Linked DNA regions of Coturnix japonica. The main gene of each other region encodes a partner of the protein of the gene in region 3 in a complex. Links are inferred from orthologs where the notes say so. Each region holds a gene or a part of one and is shown on either strand. Other genes may lie near its edges.

The links. The genes of interacting proteins can lie anywhere in the genome.
Region 1: MED26 (region 3) and MED7 share a complex: the UniProt entries of both Homo sapiens proteins name them as parts of the mediator complex. The link is inferred for Coturnix japonica from reciprocal best matches to the Homo sapiens genes MED26 and MED7.
Region 2: MED26 (region 3) and CCNC share a complex: the UniProt entries of both Homo sapiens proteins name them as parts of the mediator complex. The link is inferred for Coturnix japonica from reciprocal best matches to the Homo sapiens genes MED26 and CCNC.

Annotation. Positions count from the first base shown.
Region 1 is NC_029528.1:6,561,722-6,565,166, forward strand, and holds MED7 (mediator of RNA polymerase II transcription subunit 7), read right to left. Parts: upstream 2,096-3,445; 5' UTR 1,990-2,095; intron 1,783-1,989; exon of another isoform or gene 1,755-1,782; intron 1,572-1,754; 5' UTR 1,554-1,571; coding exon 861-1,553; 3' UTR 501-860; downstream 1-500. UniProt on the Homo sapiens protein: Component of the Mediator complex, a coactivator involved in the regulated transcription of nearly all RNA polymerase II-dependent genes.
Region 2 is NC_029518.1:64,940,584-64,944,610, reverse strand, and holds the start of CCNC (cyclin-C), read right to left. Parts: upstream 2,801-4,027; 5' UTR 2,702-2,800; coding exon 2,670-2,701; intron 2,063-2,669; coding exon 1,956-2,062; intron 1-1,955. UniProt on the Homo sapiens protein: Component of the Mediator complex, a coactivator involved in regulated gene transcription of nearly all RNA polymerase II-dependent genes.
Region 3 is NC_029543.1:3,344,967-3,349,207, reverse strand, and holds the start of MED26 (mediator of RNA polymerase II transcription subunit 26), read right to left. Parts: upstream 2,801-4,241; 5' UTR 2,072-2,800; coding exon 1,949-2,071; intron 1-1,948. UniProt on the Homo sapiens protein: Component of the Mediator complex, a coactivator involved in the regulated transcription of nearly all RNA polymerase II-dependent genes.

The DNA.
Region 1 (3,445 bases), on a different chromosome or scaffold from region 3:
TTTAGCTACAGCGATCTCAATCCCACCACCCAATGGTTAAAATCTACCTGCACATTTAAATAAATCTGCATGCCTGAAAACAGCTGAATTATCCAAGTTATAATTTGCATAACGAGAGTTACAAGTAGTTATAGTAAGTTCCCTCATCCACAAAGTTGATTGTTTCTTTTCTTTCTCTCTTTTTTTTAAAGGTGCTACATCTAGTTTGGAAAGCAGACATGCTACAGACAGGAGGGCTTGAGTAACGAAGCCACTTATCCATTATCAAATCACTCTTTGTGCCATGGGCTTGATCCAAGTCCAGTTCTCTTTAAACACAACTGATGTAGCTTCCATTTGACAGACTTCAGGCACAGACAAGTTACACCACATTACATGTGTAATAAAGCAATTCTTAAGTTCTTTAACATTGTTACATTACTACAAAAAGTTAGAAAGGAATGGATTTCTCAGGCTTCATATTGATTTCATCTTCAATCTAGAATAACTGAAAAGACCCATTTAACGTGTAAACAACTAACATTTATTTGAAATGCAGGAATTGTCAGCTTCCATTTCAGTCAGCCAAACCCCCTGCTTCCAGCAGCACACGGCATTTACAAAATGAAGCACATCCCAGAAAGCTGCAAGTGACAAAACAACGTTATACAAAAAACCTAACAGCATCCACGCTGCACAAAGCAGAGTTATGTTTTGACCAATACACATATAACTCACACAAAATATTAAATATCCTCACCTGCTTAGCAGCTCACACCCACCCCCCAAGTCAGTGTGAACGCTTCAAACAAAATACAGCATGTACCCTCAGAATCCATTTGGCCTCTCTCTATTGTAAGTTAACATAAGACACGATTCCTTCATGTCATTTCATCAATAATGCTGCACATAGCTGCATCTTTGTCTAACACCTGATCTCTCTTGCAGCCAGAACGTTCTCTCTGTTTTTCACTCTGTCCAATGCAGTTGTTGCCGTCATCAGTGTCCATTGGTTCTGTTTTCACTCCCAGTCCCCCCTCTGAATGAGGAAGATCATCAGGCAAGGACGCCAGGCAGTTCTGAATCATCTCCACAACTCGCTCTAAATGCTTCTGAAATCGCTCTGCAGTTTCCAGACGCTGACGTTTCTGCACTTCCATCATGACTCGCAGGGTCTCCCTAGCTTGGTGAGGACGGTACTCGTTTATAAGATGATGGACGTGAACAAAAAGCAGTTTCAGGTCCTCCAGTTTCTCTTCTCGCTTTATACTCCCCGGACTCCTTATCAAGATATCCAAGAGATCCAAAAAGTTGACTAAGATAGACATGTTCAGTTTCCTCAATTCCTTTTTGTGATCAAACTGCATGGGATGCAGCCGCTCAATACCCTGGCTTTCCAAAGGTCGGATAATTAAATCGTCACACTGGAACTGATTACCAAACATCATGTAACTGTCTTTCACAGGTGGAGGTGGCTTTGGGGCCAGACCTTTGCGTATGTTTTCATCGGTGTATTCCTTTATATACTGCATTGGAGGCGGAGGGAGGGCACTCACTTGCTGAGGTTCACCCATCTTTGGGGATTAAAATACCTAGTGGATAGAAAAGAAACGTGCATTACATAACTTATGCGACAACTCCACAGCACGCATGAAGCTAAGAAAACAAACCAGACAGGAGATTCTTCAGCACGCAAATAGCAGGAAACTCCCCAATAAATCCACGTCAGCTTTGCACTGACATACACAGCACATTAAGCACTTCTCAAACCAGACCTGCCAACGAGGAGGCACAGAAGGAAGGAGAGGCCTGATCCGCTAAGCCCGCATCCCAGGGCTGGGAGCGGCAGACAACGGCAGGCAGGGAGAGGCAGCCCTTAAAGCAGCACCCCCCTCCCCCCCGGCCCATCACTACAGCACGGCTCCGGGAGGGCCCAAAGCCGCAATGCTGAACAGAAACAAAGGCTGGGCCGGTCCTACACACAAGGCCCAAAGAAAACACCCCACTCACCTGCACACCGCGCTGAAAACACCACCGCCACCACCGACACCAACACCTCACATCCGGCAACTGCTCTCCTTCCTCCTCCCCTCCATTGGCTCGCAGCTCAAATGGCGTCGTAGACTTTGGTTGGATGCCCGCAATGCCAGTCAGGAGCTCGTTCCACTCACAGCCTGGGCTATGGCGCCCTATTGCGGCTGCCAGGGGCACGGCAGGGATCTCAGCGGGGGTCCCAGCAGGGTCCTCTAATGGCAGAGATCCTCGAATGGCAGAGATGGGAGCGGCCGGCCCGACTCTTGTCGGCATCAGACTCCCTGTGAGACCAACTTCTGCATGAATTGGTGTTTAGTATTTGGTATTCCAGGACTGCTTTCATAGACTCGTAGAACTGCCCTCGTTCAGACGCTTCCTGGACTCTGGTGAGCTCAGTGCCCAGACCGTGGGGAGCCGCCGGTGTGATGGCAATGCTTTAACTGCTGAATGATGCAGGGAATATATGTAGAGCTTCCATGCAACAGAAATTTGGGTGTTATTCCATCACAAAGTGAAAGCATCACCCTGGGAAGTGTTAGCATCCTTTCTATAGCTGAACACATGCAGCCTGGATGCATAAAGTCTGCAACAAACCGATGGAACTTCTTGCTTTTCTTCCATTTCTTTGTTTAAGACAGATTTTAAGGAAAAAAACAACTATCTGTGTCTTCCATATTGCCGTGGGACCTCGGGCTGGCTGGCAGCGCTTCTGCAGATGGCCACTGGTCTGGCAATGCGGCTTTTGTGCTCTGATTTCCTTTTTTCCTCAGCAGATGGCAGTAACCTCCTTCATAAGAAGGAATAAGGGTAAGAGAGCCGCTGTCTACGTGCCCTATCAAGGGCAGAGTTGTTTCTAAATATTACTTCAGTGCACTCTCACTACTTTGTAGGATTGGCAGGTGTTGGTTTGCAGAGCAAACTGTTGCAACTCCAAACCCCACAGACAAGGAGTTAAAAGCACCACTTCTAGAGAGGAATGAGAAAACCCACCTGGTGGGGGATATTAACAAGTCTTTGCTATTGTTAGACTTTCCAGACTTTGATTTCACATTCTCATACCACGAGCTGAGCTCGATTATCAGCTGCCTTGCACTCTGTGAACTGCTCAGTACAGCTCTCAGTGCTGTGACTTCAAAAGGTAGCAGGGAGCCAAGCATTTGTTTTTCACACGTCCTTTTGATCTTGAGTCATTTTCCTAGTTTGCACGTAGAGGCCAACAAATGCAAAAAGAAAAAGGGGTTTCATTTTCATTCTTGGTAGTATGACTGAGATGACTGAGAATGAAGGTGAGTACCACACACAGCATTCTCAATTTTGCTTTCTACTCCATTTCTGTGGTTTTCTCAAATAGGGACACTGTCCAAGACAAGTCCACCAGTGATAATACAGCTCAGTTACTACAGATCTGTTGGAATGAACCCAAACACCACTT
Region 2 (4,027 bases), on a different chromosome or scaffold from region 3:
GGCTCCACCCCTTCCAGTCACACATATGAATTGCCTTCACCTGTGCTCCCAGGGCTAATCGGTTCTTTCCCCAGGCGCTCCATAAGGGGTTAAGGCTGTGATTCAACAGTTCCCATACAGTGACATATGAATTCCCCATCGAAGTTCAAGACAGAGCGCCAATGGGTAAAGAGATGTGCACTGCCTTTTGGGATAGGGAAGGGGTGATCCCCATGGACCTCCTGGAACCTGGAGAAACCACCACCTCTGACAGCTATGTTGTGATGCTAACTAAGGTGAAGGCTCCATAGTCATGACAAAGAAATGAATCTTTCTCTCGCAACATGATAATTCTAGGTCCTATACCAGTTTTGTAGAGCACACTGTCAATCTTGACTGGACTGTCCTACAACAGTCATTGTATACTCTGGACTTCGCAGCTTTTCATTTCTACCTGTCTGATCTGATGAAAGATGGACTGCATGGACAACATTTTCCTAGCAACAATGCCATCATAGCAGCTGTGAAACAGTGGGTCATCTCTGCTGCAGATTTTCACAAGTGTGACGATCTGGCTCTAGATGATCATGAAAATGCATAGCTAATAGTGATGAATGTTGAAAAACAACGTTTTGTAGCTGAGAATTTGTTCTATCCAATAGGGCTATTGTGCTCTTTGTATCTGTCATAGTTTCTGTGGAAATAAATAGCGGGGAGGTATCATTTTCAGAGCAACCTACATAGTTTCTAAGTGTTTTCTCAGGAAAAAAGTGGAACATAAAAAAGGGCACACTCCATAATTAATGCCAATGAAAATTAACACAAATACAGTTTTTAAAATATCAGTTTGTTATATATTTTATATAACAAACATTTTATATATATATATATAAAATATCCTATTTGTTCTTTTTGCATTAGGAAGCTAGGAAACTGTTTTAACCTCAAGGAACATAAGGAATTGATCAAACTGATAAATCATTGTTTGCTTGGCTTTCTGGTGCTGAAAAAGCAATAATGAAAACATACCAACAGAAATCAGACTTGGAGCATACTCAATTATTGCAGAAACCATTAACCTAAGAAGGAAGCTGGGCTAAGTGCCTTTCACAGTTACAATCCAGTATAAAGGTAAGCTCTTCCAGTGGCTTTGGCAAAGTCATTTAACTTTTCTGTCTAAAGTATGCCTGACTAGATAGCTGAAATGATAAGTGTCTTGTACTTCCTATGTACAACTATGAAAAATGTTCAAATAGCTGCCTGCATGTAAATATCCCTTTAATGTCAGGCAATTGCTTAGGAAAGACTTTAAGAGTCTGTATAACCTGATAAACTCCAATGCAGCTATTCATAGGGTTAAATGCTTTGCAGGATCACGTCTTAGATAACTTCACAAACAAGCCCCAAACTCCTTAGAACAGGCTGCAGACAACACTGTGCAATCTGAGAGCCAGCCACTGCCGGGGAATCAGCCACATGGGCCAAGATATGGGCCACTGTGCAAGTTTCTGAGAGTGTAACTGAACACAAATAACAAGATTCCAAGCTTTGCTTTTTAACAGGACTGCACACACTGGCTAAAATACTTACCACATAACCCACCAGAAGCTCACAGATCACAGTTTGATTATTGCTGTTCATCAGTGAGCCTTTAATATGCTAGTTTAGTAGCTTCTCCTTGCTTCTCTTGTTCTGTGCCTTTTTTAATAGAACCTCCTGAAAATCAGAAGTGCTCTGTGTTTTGCCCTACCACGGGTTAACACATTACATATGCAGCCAGGTTATATGTAATTTCTCCTGAGCTAATACAGTTAACTGAACAACAAATGCTGCAGGCATTCCAACTCATTGTTAAAACACATTGTGAAAAGTATATGCAATGCAGTAAAGAAAACCACATCCTCTAAGCCACTTACATCCGGGCACAGCAGATACTATACAATTATATGGCACAAATAAAAGAAGAACAATTTTACCATTAGTAAAAAATATCTGTAGCTTCCAATATTCTTCTTCAGTCAGAAATTTCAAGTCTTTTTGGCGTTCCTTCAGTAGATCTTGTTTATCCAAAATCCATTGTAAACTGAAGGAAAGGAAACTAACTTCAGTAACTCTTCATCAATGTTACACGTCCTCCTGCACCAACGGGCTACCACTGTGGGCTAAGGCCCAGTGACTTTTAGCCAAGCCATGGGCAATCTGCTCAAGCAAATATTCTCTAGGGGTTTACAAGTTAGACATCTGCAAAAACACCAGCAGGGACTCACATCATCCTTTAGCTACAGAGAATCAAACCGACTGGAGAGAAGTTGTGCACTACTGATTACTTGAAAGCTTTATGCTATATTTAGTCCACCCCGGGCATCCATTCAAAGCCCAGCGTACTCCCAATGCAGTATTCTGACACAGCCCAACCCTCAACGTGCCACAGCTGAAGATAAATATATCCCACCCGCAGTCTCCAGCTGCACCCGGGACACATGCACACGTACCGACCGCCACCCAGCCAGGCCACCTCCACCACCCCGATCCAGAGCCACTCACAGCCGCAGGCCGGGCCCATAGCCGAGCCCGGCTCCGGGCTTCCACCCGGCCCGCCCCGCAGGCCCCCAACGTCCCCGCACCCTACAGCCGGTCAACGAGCGGCCGAAACGCGGCACCCCCACCCGGCCCCCGACCGCGGCACCCACTAGTGCGAGCTCTGCCAGAAGTTCCCGGCCATGAGGAGCCGTGGGAGGCGCCCGGGCCCTGCGCTACCCCGGCCCCGCCGCGCCGCCGCCCCCGCGCCGGCACCAGGAAGGAGGCGGCCGCTGCCGCCCCGTGCCCGCGCCGCCGCCGCCGGGCGGCAACACGCGGCGCTGCTGAGCGTTCCCCCGCACGCGGGTTCCGCCCGGCCGGGTCAGCGCTGGGAGACACCCAACATGCCCGACGGCACCGGGACGGCGTGGGGTGTGGGGTTGGGCCTGGGCCTGCGCTTGGGCGGGGCGGTGGAGGCAAAAAGAGCGATGATTTCAGGGTATGGTAAGTGTTGAGAGGGTTATTTCCTGCACCCTGACAGTGTGCAGGTGTGCCTGCATCCCTCATCCCTCCCGCAAGCCCGAGGGTGAGTCACAAGGGGGAAAGATGCCTGGACACCATGGGAGAACCTCACTTGTCCACCAGGAGCTGGCGGAATATCTGTCAGCAGTCACAGGGGACTCAGCAAGGTGAGCAAACTCCTGGCTGCTCCCCTGTGCTGCTAACAGCTGTCAGCACCCATGGGCATGTGAAGACTGTCTTTGTGTGGTCCGACAAGACTTATTTGTTCAAAACACTAAGTGTGACTTGGCTGTGTGCACGCCATAGGGGTTCTCCTCATGCTGCACACTCCATCTCCATCTACCCCTTCAAACACCTCTCCCAGCTGTGGCAGCCTGAGCTGAACATCGCTGCACCACCACCCTTCATCAGGAAACTGCTTCATTCAGTGAAATGTAACAGAAGAGGAGGAGAAGAGGAGGGAGACCTTATAGCTCTCTATAACTTCCTGAATGGAGGGTGTAGTGAGCTGGGGGTTGGCCTCTTCTCTCGTGTAATCAGTGATAGAACTAGAGGGAATGGTTTTAAGCTGCGTCAGGGGAGATTCAGGCTGGACATTAGGAAGTATTACTTTTCGGAAAGAGTAGCCAGGCATTGGAATGCACTGCCCAGGGATGTAATGGAGTCACCAACCATGGGAGTGTTCAAGAAACGCTTGGATGTGGTGCTGAGGAATATGATTTAGCTGGGAAGCATTGGTAATGGTTGGACTAGATGATCTTCTAGGTCTTTTCCAACCTTGATAATTCTGTGATTCTGTGATTCTGAGAAGCTTTCCACAATGAGCATATTGTTAAGAACATAATAAACGTGGCTCTTAGTATCTGGAGGATCATCCTATCCATTCCAACTCAGTGTTTGTCCCCACACTGATCCCTGAAAACCCAGGCCCACCAGACCGTGCATTGCTCCATTTCTGGGTTTATAGCTCAGATGCTGAAGGTGCCTGAGGAGCTGCCAAGTGCAGAGG
Region 3 (4,241 bases):
CCAGAAAACAGCTGTGGAAACATCACTAACCATGAGACTGGAAGATCACCCAACACTAGGTAACATAGCACAGCACATAGACGGATTCATCATTAATGTTCTGGCCTGCAGACATCTCCCAGAGGCCGAGCAGCAAAGCCATGGAGCTCAGTGTGCACGGCAGCCTGGACTGCAGGCAGCCCAACCCATACAGTGAGCATCTGAGGGGTGGTGACCTCAAACCAGAGCTGGGCTCACACCTTCAAGTGCTATTAATGGTAAATAATTAAATTATTGTCTAATATTCAAAACACAAAGGCTGCTACATATTTGGGATGAGGACCCTGTGCAATTGTGAGAACAGTTCTAACAGTCTTTCCCACAGAGCAAAAGCGAACAGCTCACACCATTCCTGCCACCAGGCAATGAGACTCCTGATGCCCCATTGGAGCGCCTTCACCCAGCAGAGGGGTTCTGCTCAGCACAGTGAGCCCAAAGAGAAAAGTGCTGCTTCTACCAGAACCAGGGAGCCCTTTCCCCTAAAAGCCCGCTCCAAGAGCCCATCGGACGCTTCCCCAGCTGTGCTGTCCAAAAAGTCCTCCCAGGAGGAGGATTTCCCTGCAGGAACATCACACTGCCCTGCTGGGGGTACAACACCCAACTCCCTGCTCCAATACAGGACTGGGTCCATTCCCAATGACCCCATGCTGGTAAATGGGGTGTAAGTCATGGAGCAGAAGTAGTTTGTCCATATGTTTTTGCAAGGGGAAAAGGCTGAATAAATGGAGATGTAACAGCAGACATCCCGTGTGGCTTCCAATATGATGTAATTTTTTTTTTAAATAGCTTATTTCTTACAGGTCTCCTTTGAAACAGAGCTTTATCACATAAATAGTGATCCAAGTGTGTGAAAATAAGTTATCAAAACATTCTGCAGCAAATACTAGAAGAGGTCTCAAGTGCTAAATGTGTGTACAATATAAGCAGCGCTCCAAGTCAGCAGAGCTTCAAGCAGAGGTTAAAACAGATGATCAGAATAGTGAACAGCTTCTGAAAGCACATGGGTTCCAACAACCTGGGGAAGAGCCATCTTGTTTAACTCACCACAGGAAGGATCTTCTCTGAGAGGACCTCACACTTATCCAAGATTTGCTCATACCACAAAGACCTCCACAGTCCCACTGGATTGAATATCCACAAGGGGAAAGCGGGTTGTGTTGGGGAAGATATCAGCAAAGCTGAAGTTGACAGCACCCCACAGCAAAGCGTGATGAGAACCACCTCCCCTCCACAGCCCCACCAAACTGATCCTTGTGCCACATGCTGGGTAGATCTGGTGCAGTTTTCACCCTCCCTCCTCTCCAGGGACACACACGTACCCGCACCGACAATCACATCAAAAAGTCCAAAAGAAATCCAGGCCTCAAAGCTTTTTTCTTAGTAAACAAGGAAGTCAATCACAATAATGAATGCTTTAAGTTTGAATGCAACCACTTCTTTCAAGAAAAGTCTCCAGAAGCCAGAAGAAAAGAGCCACAACTCTCCCTGTGCACCAAGAAGTGCTGCAGCTCAGAGCTGCACAACTGCTTCCTGTGGGGAGACAACAGAGCAGCCTCTCTTGTACTTCAACATTGGAGATCAAGTCAGATTTAAGTCACAATCTGCTTTTAAGAACGTTCAAAACTCATATTTTTCTCCCTTTCACTAAAACAGCACAGCAGTTCTGCCTGTCCATCTATTGCTTACTATGTGCTGGGAAAAAAAAGTCCAAGTCTGTATGATGAACCTCAACTCCACCACTTCTGTTCTCATTCGAAGAAGAGGTTAAAATAGAAGACAGCCCCCTGCCTACAGGCATTTCTGAACAATGGGCTGATTTTTCCACCGCTAATTATTGCCCTGGATAAGTATCAAGTATGTAGAATTATAATTTAACATACATTGCTTCTAAGCTTATGGGGCTACTGACCTGCTGCAGGCCCACAGAGCGCTGCCTGATGCTCAGACCTGCCCAGCAGAGCTCCTGCTCCATACCACCACCACAGCACAACCTGACATCGCACATGGAAGAAGCACATTCATCACAAAACATAATTCTTAACTCTACACAGCTACAACGTTTTAGAAAGTAACCCCAGAAACAGAGCAACCAGCATCAGCAGGTCTGAAGTGACAAGAAACCACTGCTCCATTAGAACTGTATTTAACCAGCTTGATGCTGAGTGTAAGGTAAAACCAAAATCCCACAGCCACAAGTCCCAGAGCAAACAGAACTCAGGAAAGATTGTTTCCGTATCTACCAAGTTAAAGGACCACAGACTCCAACAACTGAGACTTGAAAGCCCACCATCACCCTTATCATTCATTACTGTTACTCAAGCTGGTAATACTGCAGCTCATGACAAATGCTTATCACAACAGGCTATTACAAAGTGGTTTATCTTTCAGTTTTCACATCACTTGCATGGCGCTACATGATGCTTCCAAACAGCAGTAAGTTCATCAGCCACTCGGAGAACACAACACCTGTCTGTTATGGGAGAGATTTGCTCAGAGAGAAGCAGGCACAGCTCCAATGAACCTCGGAGCCCATCTCGTGCACTCCTGGCACAGCACAGCACGCTGCAGCCTGACTCACCCTGACTGCCCTGCGACAGACAGCTGGGAGCAGCACAGCTCTGTGCACTGCCATGGCAAATGTGGATTTCAGATCGAATAAATCTGACAGACCGCAGACCCCACAGTCCTCTCACCGTAGTAAACGTGGATGTGAAGAGCTGCTTTACTATGCCAAAAAAAACCTTAAAAGGAGTAAATAACACTTTGGATTACCACGACTTACACATGAAGACCACTTACTGGTAAAATCTACGTCGACTCCCGTGCTTACTCTACATCCCAGAAGGAGCAGATAAGCTCATTAGCGCTCTGCAGGGAAGGATAAAAGCGAAGACCGAGGCTGCCCGCTGCCGGAGCCGCTCCAGTGCCCCGGATCCACCTTCGAAGCCCTCCGGGCGCCCCCAGAACGCGGGGACGGCCCCGGGCCCGGCGTCTGCGGCGGGAGGCGGCGGAGGGGCCGCGGAACAGGTGGGCGCCCTGCGAGAGTCCGCAGCCCGGCCCAGAGCCCCCTGCAGGCCGCACCCGAGCCGCGGCCTGGCGTGGGGAGGCCGCCGGGCCGCGCGCCGCATGGCCGGGCACAGCCGGACGGCGCCGGGAGTGACGGGAGACGGCGCGGGGCGGAGGGAGAGCGCGGCCGGAGGGGAAACGGGGAGAGACCCCCGAGCTCCACGGAGGGAGCGCGCGGAAAAGCGCCGCCGGGAACGGGACCGTGGGCGAGCACGGAGCCGGGAGCTGCCGCTACCGCCCGCAGCGGAGGCTTCCGGTGCCCGGGGAGGAGCGCGGCGCGCCGCGGTCCCGGCAGGAGGAGAAGCGGCGGCGGCGGCCGCGCGGCCCCACGGCGTTCGTTCGTTCCCACAGCGGGAGGCGGCGGCGGGGCCGGAGAGCGGCCGGAGCTCGGCGTCCCCGCGCCGCCGGTCGGGAGCCCCGGGCCCGGCGGGCCGTACTCACGTTGCTCTGCGGGTCGATGGCCTGCAGCAGCCGGTCCCTGATCTGCTGCGGGGAGGGGGCCGGAGCCGCTGTCATTGCCTGGGCGAAGCGGGGCGGCTGCGGCCGGGGCGGGCGGGCGGCGGGGCCGGGCCGGGCCGGGGCGGCGGCTCCTCACTCGCCGGCGGCGGCGGCGGCCTCCTCGGGGAGCCGGAGTCGCATGTTCGCTCCCCGCCGAGCGGGGGGCGGCGGCGCTCGGAGCGGGGCGCGGAAGAACCGCGACGGCGCGACCGGGCCGGGCCCGACTGCTCCGCTCGGGGCCGAACTCAACTGTGGGCAGGAGCCAGCCCCGCGCAGGGCACCATGGGACACGCCCGACGCCGTTACGCACGGCGCGCCCCTGACGTCCCTCCGCACGCACCGCCGGGCGCCCAGAGCGCGTGCGCGGCGGGCTCCGTGACGGGAGGGGGGGCGGCCGCGCGTGCGCAGTCGGCCTCACGGCGCGCGTGCGCCCGGCGGCGGGGTCACCCGCGGGGCTGGAGGAGCGCGGGCGGGGGAGGGGAGCGCGGCGCCGCGGCTCCGTGAGCCCGAAATGCCGCCATCCGCCGCCGGCTGCGGTTGAAGCGGCCCCGTCCCACTCCAGCCCCCACGTTGGCAGCGCGAGGCAGCTCCGAGGGTGAATGCGGCCTTATGGACGGAGCGCCCGACAGCCGGGGGGC